Linked DNA regions of Sus scrofa. The protein of the gene in region 1 interacts with the protein of each later gene in a pairwise test. Links are inferred from orthologs where the notes say so. Each region holds a gene or a part of one and is shown on either strand. Other genes may lie near its edges. The genes, in order: PLAA and UBXN1.

Evidence for each region.
Region 2: the proteins of PLAA (region 1) and UBXN1 interact in binary tests that used the Homo sapiens proteins (3 or more experiments, as listed by UniProt). The two-hybrid records come from large-scale screens. The link is inferred for Sus scrofa from reciprocal best matches to the Homo sapiens genes PLAA and UBXN1.

Annotation. Positions count from the first base shown.
Region 1 is NC_010443.5:196,190,234-196,201,958, reverse strand, and holds part of PLAA (phospholipase A-2-activating protein), read right to left. Parts: intron 8,406-11,725; coding exon 8,305-8,405; intron 8,218-8,304; coding exon 8,097-8,217; intron 5,401-8,096; coding exon 5,233-5,400; intron 4,833-5,232; coding exon 4,697-4,832; intron 1,960-4,696; coding exon 1,790-1,959; intron 1-1,789. UniProt on the Homo sapiens protein: Plays a role in protein ubiquitination, sorting and degradation through its association with VCP. Involved in ubiquitin-mediated membrane proteins trafficking to late endosomes in an ESCRT-dependent manner, and hence plays a role in synaptic vesicle recycling.
Region 2 is NC_010444.4:9,066,481-9,078,744, forward strand, and holds UBXN1 (UBX domain-containing protein 1), read left to right. Parts: upstream 1-6,445; 5' UTR 6,446-6,557; intron 6,558-6,655; 5' UTR 6,656-6,684; coding exon 6,685-6,743; intron 6,744-6,882; coding exon 6,883-6,936; intron 6,937-7,026; coding exon 7,027-7,133; intron 7,134-7,219; coding exon 7,220-7,289; intron 7,290-7,516; coding exon 7,517-7,708; intron 7,709-7,800; coding exon 7,801-7,852; intron 7,853-7,970; coding exon 7,971-8,087; exon of another isoform or gene 8,088-8,612; coding exon 8,613-8,805; intron 8,806-8,976; coding exon 8,977-9,026; 3' UTR 9,027-9,115; downstream 9,116-12,264. Other genes in the region: ubiquinol-cytochrome-c reductase complex assembly factor 3, read right to left, coding at 11,664-11,816, 11,896-12,015.

The DNA.
Region 1 (11,725 bases):
TCCATATTGCTGTGGCTGTGGTGTGGGCTGGCAGCTAAAGCTCTGATTAGACCCTGAGCCTGGGAACTTCTATGTGCTCTGGGTTCGGCCCTAAAAAGACGAAAAAAAAAAAAAAATTCATTTGTTAATATTACCATTGATATCACAAGTTTTCTAAAATTTTGATTTTCACTTGGAAGTTTGAATTTTATCTTTGGCTACAAATACCATCACTTGTTTTCCTTAAAGTGACATGTTTACTTTGTTCATTTTCCAAAAAATGTCTGCCAAACAGCTAAGCCTGAATAATCACAGTCATTCTTTGAAATAAAAATGGCGTTCCATGAAACTAGTGATAGTTCTAGTTCAGTCTTCAGTCTTCTCAAATGACTGCAGAAATACTTGTCCCTGAAATAAGTATACCATGGTACTTTGGTATACTTTACACTTTGAGATCCAGAGTATTAAAAAAGACAGGTATCAAAGGGACAAACTGTACTAAAATTAAATTTTAATGCTTCATCATGGACATTCCTTTTTTTTTTTTTTTGAGGCTGAAGCTGTGGCAGATGGAAGTTCCCAGGCTAGGGGTTGAACTGGAGCCGTAGCCACAGGCCTACACCACAGCCACAACAAAGTGGGTTTCCAGCTGTGTCTGCAACCTACACCACAGCTCACAGCAACACCAGATCCTTAACCCACTGAGCGAGGCCAGAGATGGAACCAGCATCCTCACAGAACCTTGTCAGCTTTGTTAACACCTGAGCCACAAGGGGAATGCCCATCAAGGACATTCTTAAGGGCAGATGTCTTTTTTTTTTATTTTTTAAACAACAACCACGTGCCAGTGAAGAACACAATGACTACCTGAACAGTCTGATGTCACTGATTTGATCTGTGTACTAAGGAGCCAGCAGTTTTACCCACCACTGCTTTTATACCATAAATGTAAACATTAACATAGTATAAAAGTCAAATACCACCTTAGTGTCACAGTTTTGACCATATGGATATCCTGAAAGGATCTCAGAATCCCCAGGGGTAAATGGACCAGTAACATAGGGAATCACAGATATAACCAACACAAGATTTCTTTTGAGACAAAATCCTATGATTTTAAACTCAAAGATCCCCAACTCATTAAGCAGGCACTGCAGTATTTAAACTCATTTTTAATCTATACAGTCTCTCTCAGAGAATCCAATCAACCAAAAGGTATTAAATGAGTGACTTTTGAATACTTACTATATATGAGCTAAATTATTAAGAGATTTATTTAAAAAAAAAAAGATCCTTGTTCATGGGAAACAGCTCAAAGTCTTTAAAATTGTGAGACAGAGGCAAGAAGAACTTGCTTTCTCACTGTGATTATGGGTAATAATAAAAATTCTCAGAGTTCCTGTCATGGCTCATTGGTTAATCAATCCAACTAGGAACGATGAGGTTGTGGGTTCGATCCCTGGCCTTGCTCAGTGGGTTAAGGATCCGGTGTTGCCGTGAGGTGTGGTGTAGATTGCAGATTCAGCTTGGATCCCATGTTGCTGTGGCTCTGGTGTAGGCCGACAGCTATAACTCTGATTAGACCCCTAGCCTGGAACCTCCATATGCCACAGGCGTGGCCCTAGAAAAGACACACACACACACACACACACACACACACACACACACACACACACACACACACACACACACACATGAGAATAATGCTAAATGACTTAACGAAGCAAGCTTTTTCCCCCCCATCACTCTAATTATTCCAAAAGGTAAGCATGGTAGCATTTTTTACTTCTAGATACACTGAAATATTTACCCGGTTCATTCAGATGTTCCCTTCCAGGAAGCTGTTCAGCATTAATGTCCCCTAAGTCACCAGTTTTGGAATCAATGGTTGCTTGAGAGAGTTCTCTTTCAAAAGCCTTGATTTCCTCAGCATTTGCTGTCCGATCCTCTGATTCAGTAAACACTCTAATAATACCATCACTGTAAGGAAACACAAACTGATTTTAAGTTATTGCCACAGTGTATTAACATCATCACACTTGAATGATCCAGGGCAAAAATAATCTGTATTTGTGAATATGAGAAATGTTACTATGCATTTATTGCTGAGTATAGAACTATGCTGATTTCAGCACATACTATGCTCTGTTACTTTCTAAAATAGTGGAAAAAGACTAAGGAAAAGGTCTCTGGTAAAGAATATATACATTCTATATCTATACATATACATATATATATAACACACACATATATTTAACATAGTTTTCAATTCCAAATTAAGACCTACAGGTTTAGCATATACTTTTAAAGTCATTATTACCTAAGTATTATTGTATAAAGAAGGGTAGTGAACTATCTAATTTATAAAGGGGAGTTTCTGTTGTGGCTTAGCAGTAACAAACCCGAATAGCATCCATGAAGATGTAGGTCTGATCCCTGCCCTCGCTCAGTGGGTTAAGGATCCGGCTTTGCCATAAACTGTGGTGTAGGTCACAGACATGGCTTGGATCTGGTGTGGCTGTGGCTGTGGCACAGGCCAGGAGCTGAAGCTCTGATTCGACCCCTAGGCCTGGTAACTTTCATATGCTGCAGGTGTGGCCATAAAAAGCAAAAAAAAAAAAAAAAAAAAAAATTATAAAGGGCTCAAATACCCAACATAGGCTTAGAAAATTGTAGATGCTCAAAATCCATTCATTAGAAAAATAGGCCTATCTTTACTATGCCATTAACTAGCAATGTAACCCCAATCAAGGAAAAAAAAAAAAAAAAGTAAGCTTCACTTTCCAACCTCTCTTCTCAGAAAAATGACTTCTATGATTTCCATAATTTCTTTTTTCTAAATTTCAGGTTAGGGGAGGCAAATTAGTCCCTTTCAACTGTACTAATTCTACTCAACTCTACAGAAATCTTTCTTACTTAACTTTCCATTAATAGCTGTTTTACCCTTTCAATTCATTTATTCTTCTTTAAACAAACTTAGGGCGAAAATAACTAAATCAACTAACTGACCCCCAGCTCAGCCCAGAAGTAAAAGACATTCTCTTCTTTAGACTCTGTATCCCTTATGTCTGTTGCCCTCTTTTTCCTCTTGCCTCGATGTCAAAGTAGTCTATAATCCTTTCCTTTACCTGTTTCTTCTTTATCTGTCTCCTCTCATTTACCTTTTTCTATCATTTTCTATGAAAATGAGATGTCAAAAAAGTCACTAATAACATCTTTCAAAGCAAATCCAAAAGCTTTCCTAATGAAAATTCCTTAACCCCTCATGCATTTTCTGACACTAATCACAATCTCCCTCCAAAATCTTTTGCCATCTCTGAATTTCAACATCTGGATTACTTTTTCTGTTTGCCTACTGGTTTCTCTTTCTCTATGCACATTGTATCACAAGTTCAGTCTTCAGTTTTCTGTTCCTTGCCCCCATGTTTCTTTCCTCAGAGAAAAATGTCTTGTCGCTAGACTCTGGGAGTTTTGTGCCAGTCTTCAGTCTCAGTTGTTACACTAGCCTCTGGTCCAACTGCCCATGACCCACTGGCCCAGGAAGTCAGTGTAGCTTAACACCACAGGGACTCCAGGAAGTCATTATCTTCTGCATCAAACCAATTCTCCCACTTCTCCATTTTTATTAATGTGGACTTCTAATTACCAAAGTTTGAAGTTATCCTTCTTTCATCCCCTTTCTGACCACTTTCCCTCCGCATTAGCTCATTTTTTGGTCTCCTATCCATTAGTACTTCAGGGCCAGTATTTCCCAACTTTACACCTTATTACTAAAGTAGCTTACTAATTTGCTTTCCTTTCCACTGTCACCACTAGTTAAATCTAACCTACATACTTAATAATTCACAAGTTCTGCTTTAATCATATCATTTCCTGCTTAAGAGCTTCAACCCTATAATCCCAAACATTAAATCTAAAAAATGCCTGGCATTCCAGATTCCACATAATTAAGCCCCACCTTACCACTAGTATCCATTGTTCCTCAGCATTGGTCCTCTACCATTTTCCTTTGTCTCCCATTCACATCACTCTTGGTCCCGTGCCACCATTTTACTTGTGCCTGTACCTGTCCTTTTGACAAAAATGCTTATTGCTGTATTGAGTTGTTAACTTTCAAAACCCAGTTCAAATTTCTTCTTCTCTGGAAAGTTTTCCCACACCAATCCCTATCTTCCCTAATTTCTTTTGCATTCAGTGTTTCAACTGCACAACCTGTAGTTCAATACTATTGTAATATATTATATATCATTAGTGTGAAAGCTGTATACCTTCTATTATTTTGTTTGGTAATAGAAATGTGCTTGTGGTCTTCTCAATTCACCTGAAATTCCCAAACTCTCATCTCTGTGCACTCTTTTTTTTTTTTTTTTTTTGTCTTTTTGCCTTTTCTAGGGCCACTCCTGCAGCATATGGAGGTTCCCAGGTTAGGGGTCTAATCGGAGTTGTAGCCCCTGGAGCTGTAGCCACTGGCCTACGCCAGACCCACAGCAACGCAGGATCAGAGCCGCGTCTACAACCTACACCACAGCTCACAGCAACACCGGATCCTTAGCCCACCGAGCAAGGCCAGGGATTGAACCCGCAACCTCATGGTTCCTAGTTAGATTCGTTAATCACTGTGCCACGAAGGGAACTCCATCATCTCTGTGCACTCTTAACACCTACCAACAGCCTAGACATATATTATTGATTAACTGACTAGAATATAAATAAATACCTCGCACCAACCACAATGTCACCATTGTTTAGCACACAGCAACACCATATAGACTGAGCTGGAAGTCGGATTGTTTGAGCACATTCCCCATGCTTCCAGATTCTCAGTGATCTGTCTTCTCCTGTTGTCACAAAATCTAAAATTTAAGAATACAGGAAAAATTAGTTTGAATAAATGAAATTAAGCACATTTTTATACACTATCTTACTAAATAGGCATGCTGATTTTTTAAACCCCAAAATATTAAAAGATTACAATATAAAATTTTACATCATTGTCACTTATGCCATATACAACTTCAAAAATCACATTTTTATATATTTCACATTTACACACTATACTTTACACCAATAAATTATACAAACTCTTTCCTCAGATACCCAAGAACCTTTTACAAAACCACCAAACCTGAATTAATATAAGATGATCATAGTTTTCTCTTTTAGTAAAAAAGAAAGATACTTTATATGAAATAAAGTTTCATTGAAACAATGCTCAATACAAAATTTTAAATATGCAGTATCAGATAATCTCACCTTTACAATTTGGAAAGACAGATATGCTATAAATATAATTTGTATGACCATAAAATACTTCAAGACACTCGCCAGTGATCTGCCACTTTCTAATACTAGCATCATTTGCACAGGAGAGAAATTCTGTTTCACTCAAAATTGCCAAGCCTCTTACACAGTCTTCATGCCCTATATATATTAAAAAAAGAAAAAGAATAACATAAATCAGTAAAAATGGATCATTTGGTTGTTGGCTCTATGTATCTTGCTAACATTATAAAACAAACCAGTGATATTAAAAAGTGATTTTCAAGTTAGAGATATTCATTATTTTTTCCCATAGAAAAGCTTAGTAGCCAAAATTTGTATTTTAGCTTTGGCAATTTTTTTTTTTTTTAATTTTTGGCCACCCTGCGGCACATGGAATTCCCAGGCCAGGGATCAGATTGGAGCCATGTTTGTGACTTATGCCACAGCTACGGCAAGATCAGATCCTTTAACCTACTGTGCCGGGCTGGGGATCAAACCTATCCTGGTGCTAAAGAGACAGCTTTGGCAACATTTTCATCATCAGTCTTACCGTACAATACTGAGATTAATATTCATAAAGCAATAACAAAAGAAAAATTAAGATTAGAAAAAATATTTCAATTGTATAGGAGTCTGAAAATCTTCATCATAGAGAAGTAAACTTTATTAAGATATGAAAGAATAGGCTAAAAGACATAAATTTATGTAAAACCACAAAAATAGAGCTAAAACAAGAATTCAAGTTGCCTGCCTCTTCTTTACCTCTTCAGAGTCAAATAACTTCTCCTATCCTTTTGCTTTAACCAAAATGTAAACATAAAGCCAAACATTGCTGCTTTGTGAAGGTGAATATTTCAAAATTCATATAAATACAGGCATTAAAATAATAAATGAAAAAATGGTAAAATTAAAACTAATGACTATTGCTTCTTTTAAAAGGCAAGAATTTTTAAAATTAAAAACTTTTTGCATTATGTTAGTTGTTTAATATATATAAATATATATATATACATATATTCCTCATCAATAAATTTTTTTAAAACTCCAGAAAATTCAATTTTTTCCAATATTAATTGAGGCACTGTATGGCGATAGTTTTTTTTAAATGATAAAACATTCTCAGAAGCTTATGATCTAATAAAGGAGATCATAAGTTAAAACCTTCCCATGCTCAGTACTTCCTGATTGAGATTAACTATAACAGATTAATAAAAGCTTGACACAGGAGTTCCCATCGTGGCTCAGTGGTTAATGAACCCAACTGGTATCCATGAGGATGTGGCTTTGATCCCTGGCCTTGTTCAGTGGGTTAAGGATCCGGTGTTGCCATGAGCTGTGGTGTAGGTCACAGATGAGGCTTAGATCCTGCGTTGCTATGGCTGTGGTGTAGGCCGGCAGCTGTAGCTCTGATTAGACATCTAGCCTGGGAACCTCTGTATGTCGCAGGTGCAGCCCTAAAAAGACAAAAAACAAAACAAAACAAAAAAAACAACAAACTAAACAACTTGACACACATATTTTATGGTTGAAAGCAGACATAAGAGAGATATTTACTTATAACTCATTGCACATTTTCCATCTACAGGTGGCTCTCTTTTTTAGAGCCACACCTGCAGCATATGCAAGTTCCCAGGCCAGGGGCTGAATGGGAGCTGCAGAGGCCCCTACCACAGCAACAATGGATCCGAGCTGCTTCTGCAACCTATGTCGCAGCTCATGAAAATGTCAGATCCTTAACCCACTGAGCAAGGCCAGGGATCAAACCTGCATCGTCATGGATACTAGTTGGGTTCTTAACCCCCTGAGCTACAACAGTAACTCCCATCTACAGATAGTTTTATCTGCACAAAGGGACTTTTTGCAGTATTGTCCAGGGTGTTGATCAGCTTTTAAGGAGTAAGCAAAAGTGAGAAAAAATAAACAACAAAAAAAAAATCACACCAAAAGTGGAAGTGCTATACAAATTACCAATACCAATATTAGACAACAGATACCTCAGTGTAGAAGTTATTTAATATCTGAGTCATTAAGAGACTACCCATCAGAAACCACAACCTAAAGCCTAAAATGTGTTATTATTAAACAATGTATTTCAGTATTAATAAAAGCATGGATGTTTTCCTCCATATATGAAGATAACACTTCTGACCCACTCTTAAGACTTATGACTGCAAGTTTTAGGCTGAACTTGTTCAAATGACAACCAAAATATAACTGAGTACAAAAATTACATACATAAAATACATAGAAGCACATACACATACTATAGTTTATCAAATAGGTAATGATTAGTCCATATTTGGTTGTTTTATGATGGGTCTCATTACCTCTTTTAAAAAGATATTAAATACTGTCAGAAAATATACATCCACCCAAATTAAATGGCTCAAATATTATACACAGAATCTTAAAAAAAAGTCGATACAAATGAACTTATTTGAAGAATAGAAACAGACTGACAGAGTTTGAAAAACTTATGGTTACCGAAGAGGACAGGTGGGAGGTAGAGAGGGACAGACTGGGGGTTTGGGACTGAGGTATGTGGAATGACTGGCCAACAGGGATATGCATTATATATAGCACAGAGAACTCTATCCAATAGTCTGTGATAATCTATGTGGGAAAAGAATCTGAAAGAATGTATATGTGTATACGTATGACTGAATCCTTTGTTGTACAGCAGAAATTATCACCACCTTGTAAATCAAATAGATTTCAATAAAACTTTTTAAAAATGGCTCAAATACACTGATTTTTTCATACAACACCTTAAAACTGCTAAACTTTTGGGAAAAAAAATCATCTGAGCAAATGTGAAATGGAGAAATTATAAAAGCTGTCTACTCTGATCTTACCAGAAAAGGTCCTCTCACATCTTCCGGCTTTCCATAGTTTAATAGTCTTGTCTGCTGATCCAGTTAACATTAAGCCCTGTTCAGGTAAGATTTTTACTGCCCATACTGCAGCTGTATGACCCTGTGAGGAAAATGGCTATTACATTAAGATGCCAGAGAATCACTGTATTTAATTATTTTCTAGAATATTCACACAGAACTACGGTACCTGTAAGGTCATCATACATTTGTCATTCAGCCAGACTTTAGCAGTAGTGTCCCATGAGCCACTAAGTAATGTCCCAAATTTTCCAGATGAAAGACTACAAACTAAAGAGAAAAAAGGCATTAACACATTTTCATATAGAAAAATATTCAACCTTGGTAGTTACTGAAACGCCACAATTTTAAAAATGATTTTTGAAGTGACTATATTAGCCAAGAAAAACTTAACTCAATGGAAATGCAGAAGAGTTCAATAATCAAGGGCACAGACTCTGGTGCCAGACCGCCTAGCTATGTCCACTTATGAGCTGTCTGACCACAGGGATATTTATTCCTTAACATCAGATTTCTCATCTGTAAAATGAAGGAGCAGGATTAAATGGGCTGCACAATCCCGTCCAGTTCTAAGAAACTACACAGAAAGATAATGCAAATGATTTTAAAGCGCTATGTAGCTATTTAGGATCACTTTAGTTAAAATGACAAAAAAAACACAGCCAAGCTAAATGTTCAACAGCAATGGAATGGTTAACTAAAAGTTTTATTATCTTGATATAAAACTTACAGCTAAAAATTTTTAGGGAGTTCCCGTCGTGGTGCAGTGGTTAACGAATCCGACTAGGAACCATGAGGTTGCGGGTTCGATCCTTGGCCTTGCTCAGTGGGTTAAATAAAGATCAGGTGTTGCTGTGAGCTGTGGTGTAGGTCGCAAACGTGGCTTGGGTCCCGCATTGCTGTGGCTCTGGTGTAGGCCAGTGGCTACAGCTCCGATTGGACTCCTAGCCTGGGAACCTCCACATGCCGCAGGAGCGGCCCAAGAAATGGCAAAAAGACAAAAAAAAAAAAAAAAAAAAAAAAAAATTTTAGTATGAAAAATTATCTAAAAATATGGAAAAAAAGAGAGAGTTCTGATTAAAAATGGCAGATTGTCCACAGTAATGCTATAAGTGGTATAAATCTATAAGGACAAAGAAAACAGAAAACAACATCACTGACTTAGCAAAATGGAAGAGGTTTCAATTTAAACAACCACAGAAAAAGATTAGAAGAGAATAACTGGTCCCACAAAACTATGAGACCTGATATTCAGCCACTAGATTCCACGGAGAATGGGGATAAGCAGAGGATGTAAAAAATGAGAATAGTGATTCAAAGTTCGCACATGACACCATAACACGGTGAAACACTAGATCTCTTTTCTTAGCCTAGAGCGTCAGGAGAGTATATCCTCACTCCCTGCAAAAAGAAAACTGGAAGTTTATTCCCCAAAGGAACTGAAGCAGAGTTTCTAGACTAAGGCTACCAGACATAATAAAGGACTGGAATAAGAATCCCCAAGAAACACAAGGGGCATAAGTCTCCATCCTGTAATGCAGTACCTACAGCCCTCTGCTACCAAAATACCAGCAGCTAGACATATACTCCATCCATCTAAGTAAAAGGTGAGAGAATTCTTTTCTAGAGTATTGAATAATGCTAAAGAACTCCAGATGCAGACATTCGAGAGGTTTTTCCGTATACAAGTCAGACTATCAGATCATCCTCTAATGAAGCCTACCAATCATCAACCTCTACCTACATGAAAGAGAAAAACCAAAACAAAGAAACAGAAAAATAAGGGGGGAGGGTTTAGAGGGATCCATAAGAAATAAATCTGATTTCAGGAAGCAGGAAAAAAAAAAAATTCAATGTTATTTCCAAACAGATACTATATAAAAAAGGACTCATGAGACAACAAGAATAACAAATGCTAAAAACAGAAGAATCAAACTTAAAAAGAGGAAAGGATAGTTAAGAAAGTTAGAAAACAATTTCAGAATGTTCAACATCTAACTACGGGGATGCCAGAAAGAGAAAAATAGGGAGGAGGAGGGGAAAGATGGGGTAGAGAACACAGAAACAGTATGAGAAAGATTCCCAAAAGGGAAGGTAATGATTATCTAGACCAAATGAACCCACAAAAGTGCCCAGTGAAAGGTACTTTGAGAAACAGAGACAGAGATGCATCATGAAATTTTATAACATTAGAAACAGAAGATTCCAAAAGTTTGGGAGGGGACCAGAAAAGTGCCCCACGGGAAAGATGGAAAATCAAAACAGCATCAAACTTGTAAATAACACCTTACCCTAAAAGACAACAGAGCAATGTCTTCAAAATTCTGAGGTTAAATGGTTTTTATACAGTATTCTACAGCTAACTAAATTAAGTCAAATAAAAGCCTAGAATAAGGCCATTTTCTAATATGTAAATATAAAATATACTTAACCCCTACGTCACAGCTTTCTCAGAAGCTGCAACTGTTGTATTAAACTAATATGAAAGAGTTAAGAATGAAAAAAATATGGTATCTAGAAAATAGGGAAACCAGGATTGACATTAGCCCAGGGAGTACCCATCCAACAGGAGGCTAGAAGGTTACAAGAGAGAAGTTTCCAGAAAACACATGGGAGATATAAATATTTTAATGTATATGGCAGCCTTTAGTGATATTCATCAAATATTTTCTGCTCTTCATCTTCTAACCAAATGGTAAGAGTGAACTTCCCAAGTTCCTTTGGCTTTAGGCATGCTACATGACTTCTCCTGGCACTGAAAAATGAGCATAAATAATGTTACTTCCAGGTGGAAGCTTTAAGGACAGGTATACAATTAAGTCATGCTCCCTCCCCACTGCTCCAGTATCTGTGAAAGCACATGCTGCAACCAAGCTTCTGTCATTCAAATCCCAGACTGATTACAAGGAATAGAGCCCCTTGCTGCACTGGGCCTGTAAGATGCAAAGTAAACTTACTGCTTTAAGCCACTGTGATTCTGGAATTTTCTGTTGCCAAAATGTCACCTAAACTACCTGACTGATTCAGAAATTAGTAGCAAAAGCAAGGCACTGTTGAAGCAAAAATCTAAAATGCATGATAATGGCTTAAAAAGCAGGCAAGGAAGAGAATGGCATCATAGAACAGAAGACCAGGGATCCTTGGTAAGGAACATTTGGTAAAGTTGTTATCAGCCATAACTCAGGACATGATAAACCCATAGCCTAAAGAGGCTGGAAAATGGGACTTCAGTAATAGGCGTCACCTACTATTGGCCACATCTGGCTGGGCATTAAAAGAACGGGATGAGATCAAGAACTGGCAGGTTCAGAAAAGAAGATCCAAACTTAGGGATCTGCAGGGCTTAAGAGTCAACTGCAGGGCTTAAGAGTCAACTACTTCTCAAGATGTAATGAAAAATATAAACTCCAGAAGTCCTTTCAGCACTAAAAAACAATTGAAACCCAGCCATATAACAGGAACATGTCAAAAACATGACTATCCATCGTGCGTAGTGCCAAAACTTTCAAATGGATTTTAAAATTATTATTATTATTATTATTTTTCTTTTTGTCTTTTTAGGGCTGCACCCAGGCTAGGGGTTGAATCAG
Region 2 (12,264 bases), on another chromosome or scaffold:
CGCCGCGCCTGGGGGAAGTGCGCGTGGAAGCCGAGGCGGGCCGCGCCGTGGTGCACTGGTGCGCCCCCTCCTCCCCGGTCCACCAGTACTGGCTGCTGCTTTGGGAAGGCGGCGGGGCTCCGCAGAAGGGGCCCCCCTCAACTCGACGGTCCGCCGAGCCGAGCTGAACGGCCTGAAGCCCGGGGGCGCGTACATCGTCTGCGTCGTGGCCGCCAACGCGGCGGGGGAGAGCAGAGTGCCCCCGGCCGGGGCCGAGGGCCTCGACGGCGCGGGCGGCCCCACCTTAGGTCCCTGCGGCCGGCTGAGCGTGCCGCCGCGGCCGCTCACGCTGCTGCACGCGGCCGTGGGCGTGGGCTCGGCGCTGGCGCTCATCAGCGGCGCCGCCCTGGTCTGGCACTTCTGCCTGCGCGAGCGCTGGGGCTGCCCCCGCCGCGGCCGCGCGAGCCCAGGGGGGCTCTGAGGCCGCCCCGGGGCCTCTCCGGCCGAGCTAAGACCGGCGCCCCTCCTGGAGGAGGTGGCGGCCCCCTGCGGAGTGCGGAGGGCAGGACCGAAGGCCGGGCGCGGGGTCCCCGCTGCGTCAGTTCAGGTCCCGGACGTGCCGCTCTGCTCCGAGAGCTGAGGTTTAGAAGGAGGAGAGAGCGTTGGCACGTTTTTTCTCAACGGACTGGAAAGGAAATAATTTAGGCTTTATGGGTCCAGGGGATAAAATCCCAAGGTATCATGTAGGTACTTCTATAACCACGTAACTATTTAAAAATGTAAAAGTCATTCTTAGCTCCTTCCAAGTCAGACCCCGGCCAGATTCCGCTCCTTGGCTCGTCCACCCCTGTCACACGTCCTCGAAAGGGCTCTGCCACTATGGGTGGCTTTACTGGGGTTTTGAGAATAAGCTGCTGCAAGATAGGAATTTGGGGCTAGAGGCCAATCCCCCTTCTGCCTTTTGTTAAGATAGTGAGGATGTGCCCTGGGTTAGAATCCAGCTGTGTCTGAGGCGGGTGGAAATAAGTACTGATCTGGGCTGGGGAAGAGAAGGATTGCCAAAGCTTGTGTTTTTTCCGGTAAAAACATGATAATATGCTAATAACAAGGGCTTCCCCCTCCCATTTGTGTTTCTTGTATATCCACCGTAACGACATTAAAGGAAACCTAAAGGACTGCACGTCACATCCTTTCCAATTCCCTGCTGACACACCTATGTTCCAGGGTAGTATAAATCCTTCAGAGTTTATTTTTTTCTTTTTCTTTTTTTTTTTGCTATTTCTTGGGCCGCTCCAGTGGCATATGGAGGTTCCCAGGCTAGGGGTCGAGTCGGAGCTCTAGCCCCCAGCCTACGCCAGAGCCACAGAAACACCAGATCCGAGCTGCGTCTGCAACCTACACCACAGCTCACGGCCACGCCGGATCCTTAACCCACTGAGCAAGGCCAGGGACCGAACCCGCAACCTCATGGTTCCTAGTCGGATTCGTTAACCACTGCGCCATGACGGGAACTCCCTATTTTTTCTTTTTTTCCAGCATACGGAGCCCCAGATCAGGCATCAGATCCCAGCTGCCATTTCAACCTACAAGGCAGCTGTTGGGAACACCGGATCCTTAATCCCCTATGCCTGGCCGAGTGTTGAATCTGTGTCCTGGTGCTCCTGAGGCACCTACTATCCCTTTGAGCCACAGAAAAAACTCCTGAGTTTATTTTTAAATTAACCGGATGTAGAAAAGTCTTTAAGTTGCTCCTTATTGCTCACTTTTACTGCTCTTATAACTTTTTTTTTAATTATAAAAGTAACACTTATACAGGAGTTTTCATTATGGCTCAGTGGTTAACGAATCTGACTAGGAACCATGAGGTTGCCGGTTCGATCCCTGGCCTTGCTCAGTGGGTTAAGGATCCGGCGTGGCCGTGAGCTGTGGTATAGGTTGCAGACGCAGCTCGGATCTGGTGTTTCTGTGGCTCTGGCGTAGGCTGGGGGCTACAGCTCTGATTCGACCTCTAGCCTGGGAACCTCCCTATGCCGCGAGTGCGGCCCTAGACAAGATAAAAAAAAGACAAAAAAAAAAACACTTATACAAATTGAAATAATAGTAAAGAGGATAAAATGAAATTCCCTTCCTCTTCAAGAGGTAAGTACCTATATCAGAACAAATTTTTCTCTATGTAATGCCAGTATTTTCTGCTTTCATTCAATACATTATGGACAATGTTCCATGTTGGTAAACAACAACCTCCTTAATTATGTTAAAAGCTGCGTAATTTCCCCGAGGAGGATGCTTCTAAACTGGCAGTAGCCATTCCTCTTTGTTGGAACACTGTAGTTGTCTTCAGCGTTTGCTGTGGACATCCTTATTTGTGTTTGTTTGTTTGTTTGTTTGTTTGTTTTGTCTTTTTGCTATTTCTTTGGGCCGCTCCTGCGGCATATGGAGGTTCCCAGGCTAGGGGTCCAATCCGAACTGTAGCCACTGGCCTACGCCAGAGCTACAGCAACACAGGATCCGAGCCGCGTCTGCAACCTACACCACAGCTCACGGCCACGCCGGATCCTTAACCCACTGAGCAAGGCCAGGGACCGAACCCGCAACCTCATGGTTCCTAGTCGGATTCGTTAACCACTGCGCCATGACGGGAACTCCCTATTTTTTCTTTTTTTCCAGCATACGGAGCCCCAGATCAGGCATCAGATCCCAGCTGCCATTTCAACCTACAAGGCAGCTGTTGGGAACACCGGATCCTTAATCCCCTATGCCTGGCCGAGTGTTGAATCTGTGTCCTGGTGCTCCTGAGGCACCTACTATCCCTTTGAGCCACAGAAAAAACTCCTGAGTTTATTTTTAAATTAACCGGATGTAGAAAAGTCTTTAAGTTGCTCCTTATTGCTCACTTTTACTGCTCTTATAACTTTTTTTTTAATTATAAAAGTAACACTTATACAGGAGTTTTCATTATGGCTCAGTGGTTAACGAATCTGACTAGGAACCATGAGGTTGCCGGTTCGATCCCTGGCCTTGCTCAGTGGGTTAAGGATCCGGCGTGGCCGTGAGCTGTGGTATAGGTTGCAGACGCAGCTCGGATCTGGTGTTTCTGTGGCTCTGGCGTAGGCTGGGGGCTACAGCTCTGATTCGACCTCTAGCCTGGGAACCTCCCTATGCCGCGAGTGCGGCCCTAGACAAGACAAAAAAAAGACAAAAAAAAAAAACACTTATACAAATTGAAATAATAGTAAAGAGGATAAAATGAAATTCCCTTCCTCTTCAAGAGGTAAGTACCTATATCAGAACAAATTTTTCTCTATGTAATGCCAGTATTTTCTGCTTTCATTCAATACATTATGGACAATGTTCCATGTTGGTAAACAACAACCTCCTTAATTATGTTAAAAGCTGCGTAATTTCCCCGAGGAGGATGCTTCTAAACTGGCAGTAGCCATTCCTCTTTGTTGGAACACTGTAGTTGTCTTCAGCGTTTGCTGTGGACATCCTTATTTGTGTTTGTTTGTTTGTTTGTTTGTTTGTTTTGTCTTTTTGCTATTTCTTTGGGCCGCTCCTGCGGCATATGGAGGTTCCCAGGCTAGGGGTCCAATCCGAACTGTAGCCACTGGCCTACGCCAGAGCTACAGCAACACAGGATCCGAGCCGCGTCTGCAACCTACACCACAGCTCAAGGCAACGCTGGATCCTCAACCCACTGAGCAAGGGCAGGGACCGAACCCGCAACCTCATGGTTCCTAGTCGGATTCGTTAACCACTGCACCACGACGGGAACTCCCTTATTTGTGTATTTCTATAGGGTACCCATCTGAAATGAGGTGAGAGAGGCAGTACTATACTATTTAATCATTATTTTATTATTGGCCCTCTGGAATAAACTTAGAATACATTTGTTACCTAGAACACTCATCACATGGCAGTGAATACTTAGTGACTTTTAAATTTAATTCCTAGAGTTCTTTGGTGGCTCAGTGGGTTAAGGATCTGGCGTTGCCAGAGTTCCTGTCCTGGCTCAGTGGGTAATAAGTCTGACTAGCATCCATGAATACGCAGGTTGGATCCCTAGCCTTGCTCAGTGGGTTAGGGATCCTGCGTTGCTGTGGCTGTGGTGTAGGCCAGCAGCTATTTGAACCCCAGCCTGGGAATCTCCATGTGCCATGGGTTCAGCCCTAAAAAGTGTGCGTGTGGGCACGCGTGCGTGCACGCGCACGCACACACACACACACACACAGGATCTGGCATTGTCACTGCTGTGGCACAGGTCGGATTCCTGGCCCTGGAACTTCTGCATGATGTTAAGGGTGCAGCCCCCAAAAGAAAAAAAAAAATTTTTTTGGTGGGGGGGAGTTCCCGTCGTGGCTCAGCGGGAATCCGACTGGGAACCATGAGGTTTTGGGTTCGATCCCTGGCCTTGCTCAGTGGGTTAAGGACCCGGCGTTGCTGTGAGCTGTGGTGTAGGTTGCAGACTCGGCTCAGATCTGGCGTTGCTGTGGCTCTCGCAGCTCTGATTAGACCCCTAGCCTGGGAACCTCCATATGCCGCAGAAGCGGCCCTAGAAAAGGCAAAAAAGACAGAAAAAGGAAAAAAAAAATTGTTTTAATTGACCCTGTATTTCCTCAGCATTTATTCATTTACAAATAATGAGGGCCTACTATCTCATTATTTAAAGATATGTTTTACATGCGTTCTCACTTGATCTCTATCACAAATCATTCCAAAAGATGGTTTCACATTTTCACAGATGAGACGTTTAAGGTTCTAACGGATTTGAAACCATAAGTAAGGCGCTGAGTTGGGATTTCAGCCCAAACTGCCCAACTCCAAAGCTGATGCTCTTTGCTCCACCACAGTGAGGCAGCATAGCATAGCAGTCTCATGAATGCACACTCAGTAGGTCTGAATCCTCGTGCTACTCCTTACTAGCTCTGTGACCTTCAGTAAATGATCTTTCTGTGCCTATTTCCTGTGATCGATAATAGTTTCTATAGCACATGGACTGTTGTGATGACTAAATATACATCAACTATAACAATCTCTGGTGCATATATTATTGATACCAGTAACTTATTATTACTCTGCCTCCTAATAAATATTTAAAGTTACCTTTAACTTAAGGGACCTAACAGCATAGGGGGCGATGGAGGGCTAAGCAGTCAACAAGACTACATAGCAGGGGGCTAAATGTTAATGGAATAAATACTGGAGCTAGGAGGTGGAGAGGGGGTGGTCAAAGCAGGATTCCCTCAGAAAGCAAACCCAGAGTCCAGTCCAAAAGGTGACTGGGGGTTATTTCCTGCCACAGAAGAGGCAGGAAAACCCAGACAGAAGAACTGGTATGTGCAAAAGCCAGGAAGAACTAGAAGGCCTGTTTTGCAATCTGCACTAGGTAACCTCAAGTGATGGGGGATGAACTCAATACTAACTACCAACATTTACACAGTACAGTTTTGTCTGGTGCCTAAGGTTCGTGCTATGGTTATCCTCGCTTTACAAATGGGACATTAACAAACAAACAAACAAACAAACAAAAAATCGGGTAGGAGGTTGCCAGACTACTGGCATTTAAGTTTCCTCCTGGGAGACTGGGGTGTCACAGAGAAGTCTTTTTCTGAGCCGAACTCATGGCATGGCATATAGAGGTTCCCAGGATAGAGGTCAAATAGGAGCTGTAGCTGCCGGTCACAGCCACAGCCACAGCCACGCCAGATCCAAGTCACAACCTACACCACAGCTCACAGCAATGCCAGACCCTAAACCCACCAACGGAACGGCATCTTCATGGATACCAGTCAGGTTCGTTTCCCCGGCTCCACAACAGGAACTTCTCACGGAGAAGTGGGTTTTTTTTGTTTTGTTTTTTGTTTTTGTCTTTTTGCCATTTCTTGGGCCGCTCCTGGGCATATGGAGGTTCCCAGGCTAGGGGTCCAGTCAGAGCTGTAGCCACCACAACCTTGGGATCCGAGCTGCGGCTGCGACCCATACCACAGCTCAGAGCAATGCCGGATCCTTAACCCACTGAGCAAGGCCAGGGATCGAACCTGCAACCTCATGGTTCCTAGTCGGATTCCTTAACCACTGCGCCATGATGGGAACGCCTCATGGAGAAGTCTTAATCAGGGAGGTGATGACAGGATCTAATCAGATATTGTGTTTTGCAAAGATCGCTTTGGCAGTGGGGGCGGAGGATGGCTCAACTCCCCCCAGAGGATGAGCAGGTCAAAGAGCGCATGCATTTCTATGGACATTGCTCTATAACTTTCCAAACGGTTTCGCTAAGGGGTCGTATCGGGAACTGGCTTCATGGGCCCATGGGTTTCAGGGGGGCATCATCCTTCCTCTCCACCACCGCCAAGGCGCCTCGGCTGAGGATGTGGAGCGGTGGCGTCCCCTCCCGTCCGCGACTCCCACGCGCCGCCGGTCGGGGTCCGCTCTGGGCGGGGGCGGCCGGGCCGGGCCCGCGTGGTCTGGCTCTCTGCGGCACCCGTCCACGGCCGCCTCCACGTGACCCAAACAGATTCGGGCACTTCCGCTTCCCCCGGGCTTTCTTCTCGTCAGTGTCCGCGGCCGGGCCGCTGCCGGTGAGTAAGCGAGCCCCGGGCTGGGGCTTTGGAGGCGGGATTGCGCGCCGGCGGGGGGCGCACCACGCCGACCCCCTCCACCCTCCTCGTCCCTCCAGGTCCCCGCGGAAGCGGCGGTGGCGGCGTCATGGCGGAGCTGACGGCTCTGGAGAGTCTCATCGAGATGGGCTTCCCCAGGGGACGCGCGTAAGGGAGCCCCCTAACGCGGGACCGCGGGGGTCGCGGACCTGCCCAGGCCTTTGCCCCAGCCTGGCCTCAGGCTCTCCGCCCCAGCCTGATGAGCGCCATGGCTGGTGGGCGCTATTCACGGTGTTTCTGCCCCCAGGGAGAAGGCTCTGGCCCTCACAGGGAACCAGGGCATCGAGGCTGCGATGGACTGGTGAGAGCTGAGACCGGGTGCAAGGGGCCTGGGGGCGGCTGGGAGGGGCAGTCTCAACGTTATGACCTTCCTCCTGACTTTCCCCGCCAGGTTGATGGAGCACGAAGACGACCCCGATGTGGACGAGCCACTAGCGACCCCCCTTGGACATGTCCTGGGACGGGAACCCACCCCTTCGGAGCAAAGTAGCCCCGAAGGTCCTGACTGAGGGACACAGCGTGATTATTCAGGAGGGCCCGAGAAGGAGGCTGAACGAGTAATAACACTGATTGTTTCTTTGCAGGACCTGGGTCTGCTGCCGGAGAAGGCAAACCCCCGTTGAGTGAAGAGGAAAGACAGGAACAGACTAAGAGGTGTGAGAAACAAGCCCACATTCCTGAGGGTCACCTCCCACTTCTCCCCAGTACACAAGTCTGATCAAAGAACCTCGAACTTTCCGCCTTCCCTCTGTCTTTCTTGGCTTTTTCCTCTTTGAGTCTTCCATCTGTTTTGGGACCGTGTTCGCAGATTTTGTTTTCCTGAGACTGCCGTCATAAACTCCCAGTTTACATTCATTTCTCTTGAACTTGCTGCGCCACAGGATGTTGGAGCTGCTGGCCCAGAAGCAGCGGGAACGTGAAGAGAGAGAGGAGCGGGAGGCCCTGGAACGCGAACGGCAGCGCAGGAGACAAGGGCAGGAGTTGTCAGCTGCCCGACAGCGGCTCCAGGAGGATGAGATGCGCCGGGCTGCTGAGGAGCGGCGGAGGGAAAAGGCTGAAGAGTTAGCGGCCAGGTCTGGGTGCTGGGACTGTTGGCTGAGATGAGGAAGGAATCAGGATTTGTTCTGTCCGTGTCTGACCTGCTTTGTTCCTGTCTGCGTTCCAGACAAAGAGTCCGAGAAAAGATCGAAAGGGACAAAGCAGAGAGAGCCAAGAAGGTAGGTGATTGGGAAGAGCCTGAGGATGATGAAGTAGGTGGGTCAGGAAGCTTTTCTGGCTTCAGAGGAGGAAAGGGTGGCCTTGGTGCCTGATTGTTTTATCTCCTTTGTCCTCCAGTATGGGGGTAGTGTGGGTTCTCAGCCACCCCCACCTACGACAGAGCCAGGTCCTGTTCCCGCCTCTCCCAGCCAGGAGCCTCCCACGAAGCGGGAGTATGACCAGTGTCGCATCCAGGTACTGATTCTGATTCCTGTCATGCTCCTGGGACCCCTTCGTTGGTTTCTAAGGGACCCAACTCAGCCCGGAGCTTTTTTCAGTTATGTTCCCCTTTGCCAAACCTCTCCCTTTTTTGTAAATGACTTTTGCAATCCTATCTCCTCTGCTCTTAGGAACGGTATCAAATTTCACTCGCCCCAGTCTTATTTAAATCCATACCCGTCTCTTATTCAGCAGTTTACCTTTTTATTTGTTCATAATGTTTTCATTTGGTTTATTATACAGCTGTTTGCATGCTGTGGGATCTGTCCAGGTATATGGTATAATCTTGTCCTTGTTTTCCATAAACTGTGAATAAGTCGGGAGTCTCTCTCCAGCATTCAGTAAAGCCGAACCTCAGTGGTTGGTCATTTAGATGCTTTAAATAGTAATTTTGCTGGTTCAGTCTCAGAGAGGAAGAGAAGCCATCATTGCTCTTCTTCTCCTTACCTGGGCCCCCTACTCAGCTTTGACGCTCACAGTACCATCTCTCCTGCTCTCTAGGTCAGGCTGCCAGATGGGACTTCCCTGACCCAGACGTTCCGGGCACGGGAACAGCTGGCGGCCGTCAGGCTCTATGTGGAGCTCCACCGTGGGGAGGAGCTAGGAGGGGGCCAGGACCCTGTGCAGTTGCTCAGTGGCTTCCCCCGGCGGGCCTTCTCAGAAGCTGACATGGAGCGGCCTCTGCAGGAGCTGGGTATGACACGTGGCACCAGAAACCAGGATTTGGGGGATAGGAGGCATCCATGAGGAGGGAAGGGGAGGTGCAAAGAGAAGGGACCTTGTGGAGATGGTGCGAGGCCAGGAACTTGGGGGAGGCAAGAAGCAGGTATTGCTGTGGTTCACACCTGTTTTCTTCCATCTTCAGGACTTGTGCCTTCTGCTGTCCTCATTGTGGCCAAGAAATGTCCCAGCTGAGAGGCCTTTTCCCACCATCCCTCTCTGACTTTTCCATCTTTGATAAAGCACTGACATCTTCCTAATAAATAGACCCTCTGAGTTCTGTATGTGCCTGACTCCTTCCTGAATGGCTAGGAAGGAAGGAAGACATTTAGAATAGACCCTATTCCTCATTTTATGTTTCCAAGGGAAACTGGTTTCTAATCTCTAGGTCTGAGAGGTTGCGCAGAGGTTGAGGGGGAGGTGGAGTATGGGGAGTCCACTGGGGAGCACCTTTTGCTGCTGTGGGTAAGGCAGGGCCGAAGCCTGAAATCCTTACTAGCGACGCGCCTTCTATAATTAAGCCTAGTTTCTTCTTTAGTAAAGCAGAGATGATAGTATCTGTTAATTGGAGTTGTAGAGGGTTAAATAATACTGACACAAGGTGCTTTAGTACAGTGCTTGGCACCTAATAAGTCTCCAATAAGTATTAGCTACCGAAAGGGGTAATTTAAAAAAATAGGGCCTTGGAGTTCCCGTCCTGGCACAGTGGTTAATGAATCTGACTAGGAGCCATGAGGTTTCGGGTTCGATCCCTGGCCTTGCTCAGTGGGTTAAGGATCCGGCGTCGCTGTGAGCTGTGGTGTAGGTCACAGACGCGGCTCGGATCCCGTGTGGCTATGGCCCTGGTGTAGGCAGGCGGCTACAGCTCTGATTAGACCCCTAGCCTGGGAACCTCCATGTGCCACAGGAAGTGGCCCTAGAAAAAGCAAAAAGACAAAAAAAAAAAAAAAAAAAAAAAATAGGGCCTTTCACAAACAGGTGTATTAGTATGCTTTTCACAACTGCATCTCTGAGTTGCTGTTGTGGCTCAGCAGTTATGAACCCAACTGGTATCCGTAGGGCTGTGGGTTCAATCCCTGGCCTCACTCAGTGGGTTAAGGATCTGGCATTCCTATGAGTTGTGTCAGCCAACAACTGCAGCTACAATTTGACCCCAAGCCTGGGAATTTCCATATGGTGCAGCCCTAAAAAGCAGAACACAAACGAACAACAAACCAAAAAGGGAGTTCCTGTTGTGGTGCATTATCCCATTTTATTTTATTTTACTTTTTGGCCACGTTCAGGGTATGTGGAAGTTTCCAGGCCAGGGATCAAACCTGAACCACAGCAGTTACCCCTGGGCCACTGCAGTGACAATGCCAGATCCCCAACCCACGGTGCCACAAGAGAACTCCAATGGTCCCGTTTTACAGATTGGGACACCAACGTGTAGGCTTGCCCGAAGCGGCACAGGTAGCAAGTAGTAGAACCTAGACAGACACCCACCTGGGAGCCCGACTAGGCCTCGGGCTCTAAACTGCCAAGTTCCTTCAACACAGCCCCTCTTGCTGCTTCCCATCACCTGATCCTAGTGTTCCCTCACATGGCTGCTGACCTCTTTTCTCTCATCCCCTGGGCTGGGAAAGAGGCCACAAGTGAGGATCACACTTGACAAATACATCCACTTATGACTTCACCATCAGGTAACTTAAAACTGCACCAATGCCCACATCTGGCTTTACACCTCAGTGTCACCAAGCTTTATTTAGTGTTCTAGCTTTATTTAATAAAAGCGAGGGTGCTGCCCCCCCCCCCCAACATCACCCCACCACCACCACCAATCTTGTTTGGAACCACAGGACATAAGGTAGACAAAAGGGAAGTGAACTGGTTGGTCTGGCTATGGGGCTGTCACCCCACTGACAGCTTTTATCTCATCCCTTCAGTGGCATCGCCAATAGATCCTATGACCCAATTCAGAGTTTGACGACCACTGCAGTGAAAACCTGGAGGGAGGACAACCCCATTGCATTTAGGGAGAGGCTGCCCTCTGCCAGGCACTGCACTTCACATTCCTAAATTCACCTTCTTTACAACCACCTGCAAGATATGGCACCTTTTATGGCACAGGACTGAGGCTCAGGTTTTAGGACACGCAGGAGTTGAAACGAGATCGGATTCCAAGCACCCTCCTCTTACTAGTCCTACCACGGGGTGGGGGTGGGGGTGGGGCCTCCAAGGGTTAAAGACCACAGACGGCAGCATGGGACAAGTTAATTACTAAAAGCCCCTCCCCTCACCAACCTCATTCAAAGGAAAGTAGCCCAAGGTGTCCTCTACGGGCATTTACTGCACACGAGTTTCCAGGATACCTATGATTTCAAGAATGTCACTTGGTTATCCCCAAAGAACACTCCACACAGACCACATGACCTGAGTGGTTTTTTGAAAACGTGGTTGCTCTGCCTATTGGGCTTCAGCTTCACATGGGGGGCGGGGCAGGCGGAAGTTGCAGTCTTTCGGGCTCGCAGCACCGACCCCCAAAACACTCTAGACTTTTACCGGCGTCCAAACTGCAGAGTCACTCTCTGGATGAAGGAACATGATTTATTGGTTCCTTCAGTTAAGCCGCATCCGACGCCCCGGCCCGTAACGTAGACGTTAAAACACAGTCAGTACAGGGTTTGGGGGGCGGGGGGTAACGTGCTCACCCAGCAGCAGCTCCCCAGGACCCGGAGAGGCCTGCGCGTGGCATCTGGGTCTGGACTCCTTGCCGGCCCACAAAGGAGAAAGGCTGCCTTGGACTCCTGCGTGGGAGCGGAGGTCACGGCGCCCACGGGAGCAGGTCCGGGCTCAGGCTGACCTCCCGCCGCCGCCGCCGCTCATCCAGTTCTTCCTCCAAGCCACGTTCTCTTGTGTGGCCGCTGCCTCCTGCAGAGTGGCCAGCAGTAGCTGTTTGGTCCTGGCTGCCTCGTCCCTGCGCTGCGGGTCCTGCTCCGGTATCTCCTGCCGGGAGGAAGGGAGGGTTGCGGTCCGGGCCCCCAGCCCTGCGGTGCTCTCTGCCCGCCTACCCACCTGCTCCCACCTTTAGTATCGCCTGCTTCTGCTGCTCTCCCGGGGTCACGAGGACAAACAGCGCAGAGCCCACGCCAGCCCCCACGCCCCGCACTGCGCCCACGATCAGCGCTTTGCGCAAGGGCTCCATGACCGACAGCGCGATCCGCGAGGCGCCCTCCGGAGCCGCCCGGAGCCCAGCAAGGCGGCTGCGACGTCTCACCGTCCCCGGCGCAGGCTAGAGCGCCCCTCGGCAGGGGACCATAGAGACGAAGCTGGGCTAGAGAAGGCCCGGCCGCGGAAACATTTCAAATCCACAACGCCTGCGAGGGAAGACTGGATTGAGCTGAGGAGGCCGAGCCGGTCGGGAGGGGTTGACACCCAAGACCGAGCGTGGGGG